Linked DNA regions of Sus scrofa. The protein of the gene in region 1 interacts with the protein of each later gene in a biochemical or structural test. Links are inferred from orthologs where the notes say so. Each region holds a gene or a part of one and is shown in the gene's direction. Other genes may lie near its edges. The genes, in order: CRYAB and CS.

Evidence for each region.
Region 2: the proteins of CRYAB (region 1) and CS form a complex in vitro, tested with the Homo sapiens proteins (3 studies listed by BioGRID). The link is inferred for Sus scrofa from reciprocal best matches to the Homo sapiens genes CRYAB and CS.

The regions. Positions count from the first base shown.
Region 1 is NC_010451.4:39,639,438-39,645,572, reverse strand, and holds the start of CRYAB (alpha-crystallin B chain), read left to right. Parts: upstream 1-2,133; 5' UTR 2,134-2,410; intron 2,411-2,594; coding exon of another isoform or gene 2,595-2,688; exon of another isoform or gene 2,689-2,824; intron 2,825-3,570; 5' UTR 3,571-3,585; exon of another isoform or gene 3,586-3,675; 5' UTR 3,676-3,768; coding exon 3,769-3,969; exon of another isoform or gene 3,970-4,499; coding exon of another isoform or gene 4,500-4,546; exon of another isoform or gene 4,547-5,055; coding exon 5,056-5,178; exon of another isoform or gene 5,179-5,456; intron 5,457-6,135. Other genes in the region: HSPB2 (heat shock protein beta-2), read right to left, coding at 1,679-2,133, 2,595-2,688. UniProt on the Homo sapiens protein: May contribute to the transparency and refractive index of the lens. Has chaperone-like activity, preventing aggregation of various proteins under a wide range of stress conditions.
Region 2 is NC_010447.5:21,696,309-21,702,416, reverse strand, and holds the start of CS (citrate synthase, mitochondrial precursor), read left to right. Parts: upstream 1-1,853; 5' UTR 1,854-1,859; coding exon 1,860-1,901; intron 1,902-2,049; exon of another isoform or gene 2,050-2,064; coding exon of another isoform or gene 2,065-2,131; intron 2,132-2,990; coding exon of another isoform or gene 2,991-3,085; intron 3,086-6,108. UniProt on the Homo sapiens protein: Key enzyme of the Krebs tricarboxylic acid cycle which catalyzes the synthesis of citrate from acetyl coenzyme A and oxaloacetate.

The DNA.
Region 1 (6,135 bases):
TCCTGCTTTGATTTTTAATACATGGCAATCCTTTAAGAGTCAAATTTTTCAAGTGAAAGTTTGTATCGTGGGGTCCACAGATTCTTCTTCTTTCCTTTGCTTTTTAGGGCCATACCCGGCTCATATGGAAGTTCCCAGGCTAGGGGTTGAGTCGGAGCCACAGCTGTCAGCCTATGCCACAGCCACAGCAACATGGGATCTGAACTATGTCTGCGACCTACACCACAGCTCGTGGCAACGCCAGATCCTTAACCCACTGATGGAGGCCAGGGATCGAACCCGAGTCCTCAAGGTTACTGGGCGGATTCATTTCCACTGTGCCACAACCAGAACTTCTCCACAGATTCTTAAGAGGGGCATATAAGTGGATCTCAAGAGCTGTGTGAACCTATTCAAATTGCATGACAAATTTGGGAGCATGTGTATGTTTCTGGACAAGGATCTAGTGCTTTTGTTAGATGTTTCAAAAGGGTCTGAAACCCCCAAAAAGTTAAGAACCAACCACTTCAGAAGTTCCTTGGTGACTCAGCAGGTTGAGGACCCGGCGTTATCAATACTGTGGTTTGGGTTGCTGCTGTGGTGAGGGTTTGATCCCTGGCTGGGAATTTCCACAAGGCAAAAAAAAAAAAAAAAGTATCTACTACTTTAATGGAAGAATTTCAGGTGTCCATCACACCATATAGATTTATATTGGGGCAGGGAGGTCTTCTGGACACTCCAAATCATACACACACATGCTTTCTTGATTATAGAGAGTAATTAAGAGGTCAATCCTCCAGGCTGTCCCGAATACACCATTCCCGTCGTATTAAGACTCCTCTTACAAAGGAAGTTTCCCTAGCCGTCACCACTATACCAACAGCCCTAGATCCCCTGCATTTAGTCTTGGATTGGCTGCAGTGGTGCAGTGACTCCTCTCTTTGGGATGATACAAGACTAGAAACAAGTGCTTTCTCTCATAGGCAGAGAGGAGGGAGACTCTGTTTTGGTGACAATGGCAGAGGCTTCTGTGGCAGTGCCCCTATGTCTACATAACTGATCCCTCAGAATCGGAGACCATTTTCAGTGGACAGATCTTAGTGTGGGAAAACAGGGCCTTAGGCAACACAGAAGCCAAAAGCTGTTTTCCCAACCCCTACCCAAAACAGGCCAGACAGTCTGGAGACCCTTGTTTTTGTGTCTCTAATCACCAGCTCAGACAGTGCCCTCTGGGCTGTTTGGATGGCATATCCCTTTTCCCTCCCAGGATCACTCTCTTTTGTTGCATTGTGAGAAAATTACGGCCAGGAATTTGATCTGGAGCCAGTGTCAGCTTCCGGGTGTGATCTCAGCATCCAAGTGTGAGCTCAGGGTGCTGTGACGTTGGGTACATCGAACTGAGCAGCTTTTTGTCTAGCTGTCCTTTTTGTCTTTCCCTCCCTGCCCATCCCATTGTCCAGGTCACAGAATAGGGAGCAGCACAAACCAGGCCCTGAGATTTGGGTTTATTCAGCTCCACCCTAAACTAAACGAAAAAACGCTATGACACGTCCCAAGGGACCAAACCATACATTGTGGACCATGCACTTCACCCTTCCCCCAAGGATGCTGCTACCTCTAGGGTGGTGGGCAGCTGCTCCGTATCACCGTGGGGGCGGGGGCTAGCAAGGGGTTCAACTGGGTGCTGGGTCTGTGACATTCAGGGCTCAACGCCGGCTGCCTCCTCCTCTTCCTCTGGATCAGGAGGTGCAGGGAGCAGGGAGATGTAGACCTCATTGACCTCTGTGTCCAAATGTCGGCCACCCCGAGGCGCCTCCAGGTTGAGGATGCCGTCATGGGAGAGCGCGGCGCGGACGCGCCAGGGGTCCACATCCGCAGGCAGGACGTAGGTGCGGCAGAATTCTCGGGACACGAAGCCGTGGCGGTCCAGGCGCTGGGGGTGCCGGGCAGACACCTCCAGCAGGTTGTCCACAGTCCTCACGGTCACCTCATCTGGGGTGAAGTGGCTCACATCCAGAAAGGCCTGGAACTTGCCCTCACTAAGCCGAAGCTCCGAGGCCCCCGCCCTGCTGCCCTCCGCCGCTTGGGCTGCCCGTGGCCGGACGTAGTAGCCGTGGTAGAGGGTGGGGGTCAGGATCTCTTCTGGCAGGAGGCCTGGGGGGCAGAGGGGGAGAAGGAGAGAGGCGGGATGAGGGACGAGGGGTGGGAAGGAGGTGAACTCTGGGGAGATCGGGGGTGAGGCCCGGGGAGCGAGGAGGGGAGAGTCGGAAGAAGCAGGGGAGGGAGGGATGACAGGGACTGGACAGAGGGGACTGAGAAGGGAAATGGGGGCGGGGAGCAAACCTAACGCGATCTGGGGGGTCGGAGGGGAAGCCCCCACGCCCAGGCAGACGCGGCAGGTGTCAGCACCGCGGGCACAGCCCGCACCAAGGTAGGCAGGAAGGGGAGGGAGCCGAGCTTAGAAGGGGTGGGGTGGGGGGGTCTGGGGTGGGAGACGGCTCGCCCCAGGAGTTCACTTAAGCCTGGAGTGGGGTGGAGGCCAGGATCTTTGGGAGGTCAGCCCAGAATTTCAGGAGGTGGGGGTGGGAGGCAAGGGGGTGGTGTCCGGGCCGTACCTTCCCCGAAGCGCTGCTCACCCAGGCGGCTCGGGTTGGCAAACTCGTACTCAGTGGTGGCCGGGTGGGCATGTGGCACCGAGCGGCCCGACATGGCTGCAGATGCGGCGGCGGCTCAGGTCCGAGGTGCGGCCCCAACAGTCGCAGCGGGACCCCTCCAGCTGCCGCCGTAGGGCCAGGGTGCGTTCGGAGTGGGGGCGGGGTCTACACCACCCAAAATAGTGCCGAGCCTGGGGGGAGGGGCGAGGAGCGCCCGCGACGGCTGTGTGACCCGCGCCGCCTGGACCCCCGTCCCCTCCCTAGCACACTCTTCAGCTGTCACATCCCCGCCCCCTCCCTCCCCCCTCCCCCGGGACAGCTGGGGGTCCTGGCCGCGGAGCGAGCTGGGCAGGGGAGGCTGGTGCGGAGGTCCGGGAAAGGCCTCGCTGAGACCCTCGCGAAAAAGGGTGTACATTTCCACACCCTCCTTCTCCTCCTCACTTGCAGGCAGCAGGCACCCTACTCCATAAAACTCCCCTGGATTTAAGGTTCTGCCAGCCACGTAAAGCGAAAGATGCAAACAACTTTCTGCCCTTTCTTTGGGGGGTGCGGTGAGGGGCCTTTTGGTCTTGACATATCAGGGGCCTCTCTGAACCGGGGGCAACCCAGAGCACCACACGGAAACCTGCCATTGACATGCTGGTGATCACTGCTCTCCTCCAGGGCCCCACAAAGAGTTAATGTCCCTGGGGCCCAGCCTAGGAAGATTCCAGTTCCTGCCCAGGCCCAAGATAGTTGTTGGCCCCATTCCCTTGGCATGCTGGACTGGAGAGGAGGAGGGGCCCGCTGCCCGCCTGCTTGGGATTCCTGACTGGGTCCCAACTCCAGGGAAGGGGATGGGGGAAGGGTGCCATTGGGTGTGGACAGAAAGCTAGTGAAACAAGACCAGGACAAGCCACTGGCCAGCTCAGACGTGTCTGTATTTCTCTTTTCTTAGCTCAGTGAGTACTGGGTATGTGTCACACTGCCAAATCCCCGATCACAAGTCTCCATGAACGGGTGGTGAGCTGGGATAATAAAACCCCTGACATCACCATTCCAGAAGCTTCACAAGACTGCGTATATAAGGGGCTGGCTGGAGCTGCAGCTGAAGGAGCTGACCGGCCAGCTGACCCTCTACATCCACCCAGCCGCCATGGACATTGCCATCCACCACCCCTGGATCCGCCGCCCCTTCTTTCCTTTCCACTCTCCCAGCCGCCTCTTTGACCAGTTCTTTGGAGAACACCTGTTGGAGTCTGATCTCTTCCCAGCTTCTACTTCCCTGAGCCCCTTCTACTTTCGGCCGCCCTCGTTCCTGCGGGCACCCAGCTGGATTGACACTGGGCTCTCAGAGGTAAGTATCCCCTCTGCCCCGACAGGAGAGTGCATTCTGGAGCCTCCTGGAAGCGTCCCCATCCACTTTCCTCTTCCTCCCAGCCTAAATGTGGCTGTGTCTAAGGGTCTCAAGGGTTTTAGGCACTTGTGTGTCCTGCAGTGGAGAAAGATGGGGTTCCTAGTTCCTCCCCTCCCCCCCACGCAGGCACCTGTTTGGATTTGACGCCCCTGTGTATTCCACTTCTTATATTTTCCCCGTGTGCTACAAAGGTCATTCTCTATCCTCTTCTTCTAAGTAGGGTGTCCCTTTCCAGTTTGGTTCATAATGATCTACAGTGCAAGGGCTGCCTTCAGACTCCTGCTCACCTCTTCTAACACCTCACACTCCTCACAAATACTATCATTTCAAGTTTCAGAGCCAGGAGACAGTCCTACCTCATCCCTGCTGCGTGCAGCTGGAGACAGCAACCACTATTGTCTTCCACTCCCTCTTCTGTGATTTTCCAGGTTTCTCAAGGCTGTGACAGGGCACTGGCCTGGGTCCGAGGCTCACGAGGAAAGAATATAGGTCCAGTTTTCTGACCCCCCAACTTGTCCTAGGAGTGTGGGAAAATGAGGGGAACAGATAAGGTTGACAGAAGCTGTCACAGATAACACTCTGGTTTAAAATTTTTCAAGTGTAAATAAACAGGAGCTGAGTGGACAAGGGCTTTGGAAGGACAATCAGAGCCAGCAGAACATTCCAGATTGAGTGGGTGGGAAACTTGGCAGAGACCTGAGCAAGAAGAAGCAGCCTTTGTACCACAGACAAATGACAAGGCCAGGCATTGGGTCAGAGAAGCAGCAGAAGCCATGCCCAGACCCATCCTTGCGATTTATCCCCTGAGTGGCCTTTTTCCCTGTAAATAAAGTTTGGGCCTGATGACCAAGTGGTGTGCCCCCTGAACCAGAGAACCATGTTTATTCAAAAAAGGATTTTTAGCTTAAAAGGGGAGGACCAACTACCCGAGCAGAAAGCAAGTCTGCAGAATGATGAGGCTGTATTAGTGTAATCCCCATTCTTACCACTTTTTCTGCTACCCCTGCCCCACCTTGCTGTTTTTAGATGCGTCTGGAGAAGGACAGATTCTCTGTCAACCTGGATGTGAAGCACTTCTCCCCCGAGGAACTCAAGGTCAAGGTGTTGGGAGATGTGATTGAGGTGCACGGCAAACATGAAGAGCGCCAGGTATGTAGCTGGCTTTCTTTTCTGCTCATTCACCCAAGGTGTACATTGTACCAGATGCTGCCATGAGCCTCTGAAGCTGGCAACATTTCAGTCCTAAGCCATAGAGTCTAGAACAGGGATAGATCTGTTGTTATTGTTATTTTGGCTAGAGAAGTGATCTTTGTTTTGACTTGACTGCCTTAGATAGGATAGATGGAAGGTTAACTTCTCATTTAAGTCAGTGGCTCTCAACCTGGCCATGTTAGAATTACCAGCGGAACTAAAAAAAAAAAAAAAAAAAAAATCCCAATCCTCAGGCATATCCCAGGTCAGTTACATCAGACATTTTAGGGATGGACTCGGGCATCAGATTTTTTTTTTTTTTTTTTGGTCTTTTTAGGGCCTCACCTATAGCATGTGGACGTGCCCAGGTTAGGGGTCAAGGCTGAATTAGAGCTGCAGCCCCTGGCCCACGTCACAGCCACAGCAAGCCAGATCCAAGCCATGTCTGCGATTTACACCACAGCTCACCACAGTGCCGTATCCTTAACCCACTGAGTGAGGCCAGGGATAGAATCGCATGTTCATGCATACTAGTCGGGTGGTTACCGCTGAGCCACAATGGGAACTTCCAGGCATCAGATTTTAAAAGCTCCCTAGGGAATTCTAACATACCAACAGTCAAGGTTAAAGACCACTGATTTAGGAATAGTGATTGTCAGAGATCTGATTGCTTTATATAATTACCTTAACTGCTTACATCTGGAAGGCCCTGGCATTTGGGACTTTTAGATGTTCAGGAATTCATTTCTCTTTAGCTCATCTTAATGTGAACTACTTGGTTTGCCTAGATTTCAGAGCTATACTCAGCTCCTAATACATGAGACCTATGTGGAAATCAGTTAATTGAGAGCCTGTCTGGATAAATGCTTGAGATACAGCAGGGATTAGATTAACAGTTAACTAACCTGTAGCAGA
Region 2 (6,108 bases), on another chromosome or scaffold:
TGGGGTTTGTAGATAAAGTGCCTTAGTCCTTGGGTCAGTTCCCCCCTGCCCTCAGGTCAATGACAATGAAAGGCCTGGGGAGGTAGAAAGGTCCTAAGTTCTTGTCTACCGAGAGGAATTAGTTAAGAATGATATGAAAGCAGTTTCCATCGTGGCGCAGTGGAAAAGAATCTGACTAGAAACCATGAAGTTGTGGATTCAATCCCTAGCCTTGCTCAGTGGATTAAGGATCTGGCATTGCCCTGAACTGTGGTATAGGTCACATATGTGGCTGGGATCCCGTGTCATGTGGCTGTGGCATAGGCTGGCGGCTCTAGCTTTGATTCAACCACAGACCTGGAAACCTCCGTATGCCTCGGGTGTAGCTCTAAAAAGCAGAGGAAGAAAAAGATAATGAAAGGTCATTTTAGTGCTATGGTTCATTTATAACGGTCTCTGGGGAGCATGATAAAAAGTGTATAGAAGACAGCCAAATAGGTGTAAAGGTCCGGAGGTCCTATGGGAGTGACAGCAGTGATGTGACAAAAAGGGAGGTGATGAAGTTCCATTGTGGCACAGCAGAATAAAGATCCAGTTTGTCACTGCTGTGGCACGTGTTCATCCCTGGCCCAGGAAATCAGGCTGCAGGCCTTGGCCAAAGGGGGGGGGGTGAGGTGATTTTTGTTGCGGGTTGGTTTTTGACGCCTCAACTTTTTTTTTTATAGTCACACCTGTGGGTTATGGAAGTTCCTGGGCTAGGGGTGGAATCAGAACTGCAGCTGCTGGCCACAGCAATGTTGGATCTGAGCTTCTCTCATCTGTGAACTTCCCCACAGCTTGAGGCAGTGCCAGATCCTTAACCCACTGAGCGAGCCGGGGATAAACCTGCATCCTCATGGACACTATGTCAGGTTCTTAACCCACTGAGCTACAGTGGGAACTCCAAGCTCATCTTTCAGCTAGATAGATGTGGGGTGGACTGGCTGTGTGGGGTTATGTGACTGGAGTGGCACTGAAACTAATGATCTGTACCCAGAGGGCCTGACCTGCACCGGAAGCCTTCATATTAAGGGGGCCTAGTAAGATTTGGATTTCTTGGCACTAGACACAAAACTGAGAGTCCGCAAAAACCACTGGATATTCAGGGACCTACCTCAGCTTTCCTTCTCCACATTCTGGGGTCTGTTGGTATCTACAATGCCATGGCTTCCGCTTGCCTCAAATGACCTCCACCAAGTAGCTAACTCTAACATCACTGCCTCTGTCCACATTGTATCACCTCTATGGCCATTAAGTCATTGACCAAAGACACTGTTCAAGATAGCATGCCAAAGAAGTAGGACCACTTGCATTGATAGTGTATTAAGGGGTTGACTTCCGAGGACCTTTAAAAATCGAAGTCCTTAGCGCTTTTTCACTAAAAGCCATCTCAGAATTAACCCCAACTGTGGATAAGGGTTAAGGAGAAAGCCTAAGAAGGAAGTTAACTGGGGTCTCAGGCACATACTTAGCCACCTATACGCTTCCCCCCGCCCTTACACCCTTAATTAGCCTACCTCGGACGGTCCAATCCTCCCCATCACAACTGCTGTCAACGGCTTAGGGCCCGCCCCCCACGCAGGCCGGACCAATGGCCGAGCCCGGAGCAAGCCCTTGAGAGGGGGCGGGAGCGGGTTCCGGGCGGTAGGCGGGGCTTCCTTGAGGACCCCGGGCTGGGCGCCGCCGCCGGCTCGTCTACCCTTTCCCTCAGCAGCCTCCTTTCAACCTTGTCCCCCCCCCAAGCCAGCGCGGCTTCTGGGGCAGCGGCGGCGGCAGCTCCCGTTCCTGCCGCATTTCTCTTCCCTCCTTCCCTCCCCGCCAGATCTCCGAATTCGCCTGCCATGGCCTTACTCACTGCGGCCGCCCGGCTCTTCGGAGCCAAGGTGAGTAACTAAGGGAGGGAGCGCGCCGTCCTGGGGTGGGGCTGAGGAGACTGCAGGCCCTCAAGCTCCGGGGTCTCCCTCCCCTACCCAGACGCACTCCAGCGCGTCTTAAAGGCACCCTGCGCTTGGCTGGCCGCCAGCCCTGCCTGGAGCTCCCAGGGCCATGTGCTTCGCTGGCCTTCCGGCCCCTGGGGTGAAAGGAGTGCTACTCGCCCGGCTTGCGGTCTTGGGTGGGTGGGGAGGCCGGACCCTACTGTCACCTCGCATGTCTGGAGCGGCGGGGTCGGGGGTGCGGGCGGATGCTTGGCCTTGGAAAAAGGAGCCGCTAATGCAGAACATAGGTGTTGTGTTCCATTGGAGTTAGGAAAAGAGCCTGTTTGGAGGAGGGGGCGGGGTAAGACAAGTGGCCGCGGTAAGACAAGCGGCAGGGGTGAGCAAGTGTGCTCACTCTATCCCTGGACCAAAGCTGGAGCAGTAGCTAATTTCGGCTTCTGCTTTGTAGAAAGGGCCTTGTCAGTTTCTGAACTGCCTGCTTGCATTTTTCCACCCAGTTACTTTAGTGATCAAGCCGTAGCAGTCCTTGCTAGAGGAATGCGACCCTGGGTCCTCTTTGTCCTTGGAACTCTTGTACTTTTTATGTAGGAGGAGCTTGGGTGGGTGGAGCGCCTGTGTAAAACCTTCTTCATGATTATCACATATGATTGGAGAAAGAACCGGAAAAGTTATTTGCCCAAACTGCAGGCTAAGTGAAGATCCAGGGCAGAAGATAGTAATTCCAAGGTTACATGACTGGTCCTCCTACTTACTCACTCAGGTTTTGTTATTAGTTCGCTCTACCTAGGAGAGGTTCTTCTTATTCTGTGGGGTCTTTTACTTGACTTTTGCTACCCCTGGGACCATAGGAGTATTGTTGCAGGTAATGGTGCTTTCAATTTCATATTGCCAAAATTACTTTTGTCGCTGGGTAACTTGACCCTTTAAACAGAGAAACTGCTGTGCTGAGGGGAGTCCCAGCCTTCTAATCCAAGGAGGGACAGTTCCACAAGTGACCTTGACTCCTGCAAAGAACTTATACTTTCTCTTTTGCAGACAGATTAAAGCTGCCAGCACCTGAAGGGAAGGAAAGGAAAACTTTAGAATGGTGTTGGCTTACTGTGTGTTATCTTGCATGGCTGGCAGACAAGGTGAGGCCTATAGGATTTACACTGGGGTTCTTTCAGGCACTCAGCAGCAGAGTGGAGGCTGATCATTTGGGAGATACATGTCTTATTTGACAGTAGTTCTCCCACTGCCAGAGAACAGGGTAAGGAAGCCTCTTGGGAAATGAAGCAAGTTCTAGATAGTGTTTTGGCAGAATACAGGACACTATAATTAGCTCATTCCAGAGCTGCTAACCCAGACCAGATTGTCTAACCCTAGGGTGAGTTTGAAAAAGCTTTTAGAATTTAGATTTGAATTTATTTTGTCTCCTAAGCCTCTGGAGAAACTCCGAAAGCTTTTGGGTTGACCAGGTTACCTAATTATAGTGTCATTATTGTTTTGTTTACTTTCCTGTTAAAGATGCACCTAAGGATTCCAGAAACCTGTATATTGGAAGCCACTAGAAGGCTTTTGACCCTTAAAATTAACAAAGCCCAATAGTCTGAGGAGTGGAAATTTCCTGAGATCTAAGCAGTATAGCCAGGATATCAAAAAGCCTTTCACTTTGTCAGCATTGCCAGCTCCTGCCTGAGCTTTGCAGATTATCCTGTGGCTTAATTGGTACTCAGTTTTACTTTTGCTATTAAGGTAGGCTTTAGAAGGCAAAAATAGTCTTTTAACCCCAGAAAACTGACCTCTGCCCACTTTAATTCTCAGGGTTAGGTGTGGTTTCACTTTTTCTGAGAAATTTTTTTAATCTCACTAGCAGACGCAAATGCCAGTCATTGTTTTGTCATTCCACCCTACCCCCGTCAGGTAATTTAATCAACATTTGAGTTGGAGAGACCACCTCTTCAGAGCCTTAAATTATTTGACTTCTTGTTTATTTGAATGAATTTCTACCAGGCAGTGGCTTTAGAATTACATGTGGGTGTCTTAGCTTTGTGCTGTAAATACTGTCTTTTCATAGGTGATTTAGGTTGGGAATTAGAGTAGGGCCATCAGTTAACTTCTGGATTCTTTTTATTTATTTATTTATTTTTTTTTTGTCTTTTTGCCTTTTCTAGGGCCACTCCTGCAGCATATGGAGGTTCCCAGGCTAGGGGTCAAATTAGAGCTACAGCTGCCGGTCTACACCAGAGCCACAGCAACTCCGGATCCGAGCCGCATCTTCGACCTACACCACAGCTCACAACAATGCCGGATCCTTAACCCACTGAGCAAGGGCAGGGATCGAACCCGCAACCTCATGGTTCCTAGTTGGATTCGTTAACCACTGCACCACGACGGGAACTCCAACTTTTGGAGTCTTAATGCCAGAGTGACTTTACCAACCTTAGTTGCTGCTTGTACCATTGAGATTTGTTCCTCTGAGCTAGGATGTTTGGTAACTGAGTAAATCAATCCAAAAGTGTTTTTAGATTATTTCTAGACTTTTTCATGACATTTAAATTGATACTCATGATTCCTTTACAGTAGACCTACACCACTGCTGAACACCTCTTACATAAATCCTAGTCTGAAATTGGGTTCAACAAAACTGAGTCATGGAATTTCTGTTGTGGTACAGCGGAAACAAATCCAACTATGAACCATGAGGTTGCAGGTTCAATCCCTGGCCTCACTCAGTGAGTTAAGGATCCAATGTTGCCGTGAGCTGTGGTGTAGGTCACAGACACAGCTCAGTTCTCGTGTTGCTGTGGTTGTGGTGTAGGCCGGCATCTGTAGGTCTGATTAGACCCCTAGCCTGGGAACCTCCAAATACCGTGGGGTGCAGCCCTACAAAGACAAAAACAAAACAACAACAACAACAAAAAAAACTGAGTCAGTTTTGTCCTGTGAAATGTTAGGCTTAGAGCCCCAAACTTTTAAGAGCAAGCAATCAAATCATTCATCTTTTTCAAGCACTTGCCTTCACTTTATCAGCCTACCCAAAGTAATGGCGATTTCTTGATGCCTACTAGATGGACCAAAGATGAAAAGTGGAGAATAAAGCCTCATCATGTGCTTTATAGTGTTGGTATGATTGCATTTGTTCTTCCTAGTGGTCTTTAGATTGGTAGCAGGTGAATGCATGGGTGTGGGGAGGCATCGAGGTGAGTAGTGGTGAAATAGATAATCAGAGGAGGGAAGGCTGGCATTCCTCATTCTGAAATCCAGGTGGGCAGAAGGCAGGAAAGCAGACTTGGTGGATTTCCCTAAAGCCACAGAGTAATTCCTTCTGCCCTGTTTTCAGTGCCTTATGTGAAAGAGTTGAGTAGGATTTGAGTGAAATTTAAAACAGTAGTGAGGCAACTTTAGCAGTAGATCTTAGGATCTCTTTCAGTTCTTCCCTCAACTACCCTAACTGCTATATTTCTTTTAACATCTTATCCTTTAAAAAGGTCTGTAAGTTCACAGTGGGCATCACCACTTGGGGTGCTTGTTAACGTTGCACATTTGCAAATCCTCCTTCAAATTTTGATTCAGTGAAGGTGGGATGAGATCTGGAACTTGTATTTTTTCAGGTGCCTCTGTTGGCTGAGATGTTTGGTGATCCCCGACTCTTGAGCCAGTAAACCAACATTCAGTCCTTTTGACAACTATATTTAATGTATATGAAACTTTGAGTGTTGGAGCCCTTTTTTTAAATTTTTAAAAAAATTATGGAGTTCCTATCGTGGCACAGTGGAAATGAATCCGACTAGGAACCATGAGGTGGTGGGTTCAATCCTGGCCTTGCTCAGTGGGTTAAGGATCTGGCATGGCTGTGGCGTAGTCTGGCAACTACAGCTCCGATTAGACCACTAGCCTTGGAACCTCCATATGCCACACGTGCAGCCCTAAAAGACAAAAGACCAAAAAAATAATAATAAAAAATAAAATTATAGTTGATTTACAGTGTTGTGCCAATTTCTGCTAACAGCGAAGTGACCCAGTCATATATACATATACATTCTTTGCATATTCCATCATGTTCCATCCATTACTGTGGGGGTTTTTTTTGTTTGTTTGTTTGTTTTTGGCCTTTTGTCTTTTCAGGGCTGCACGTGCGGCATATGGAGGTTCCAAGGCTAGGGGTCTAATC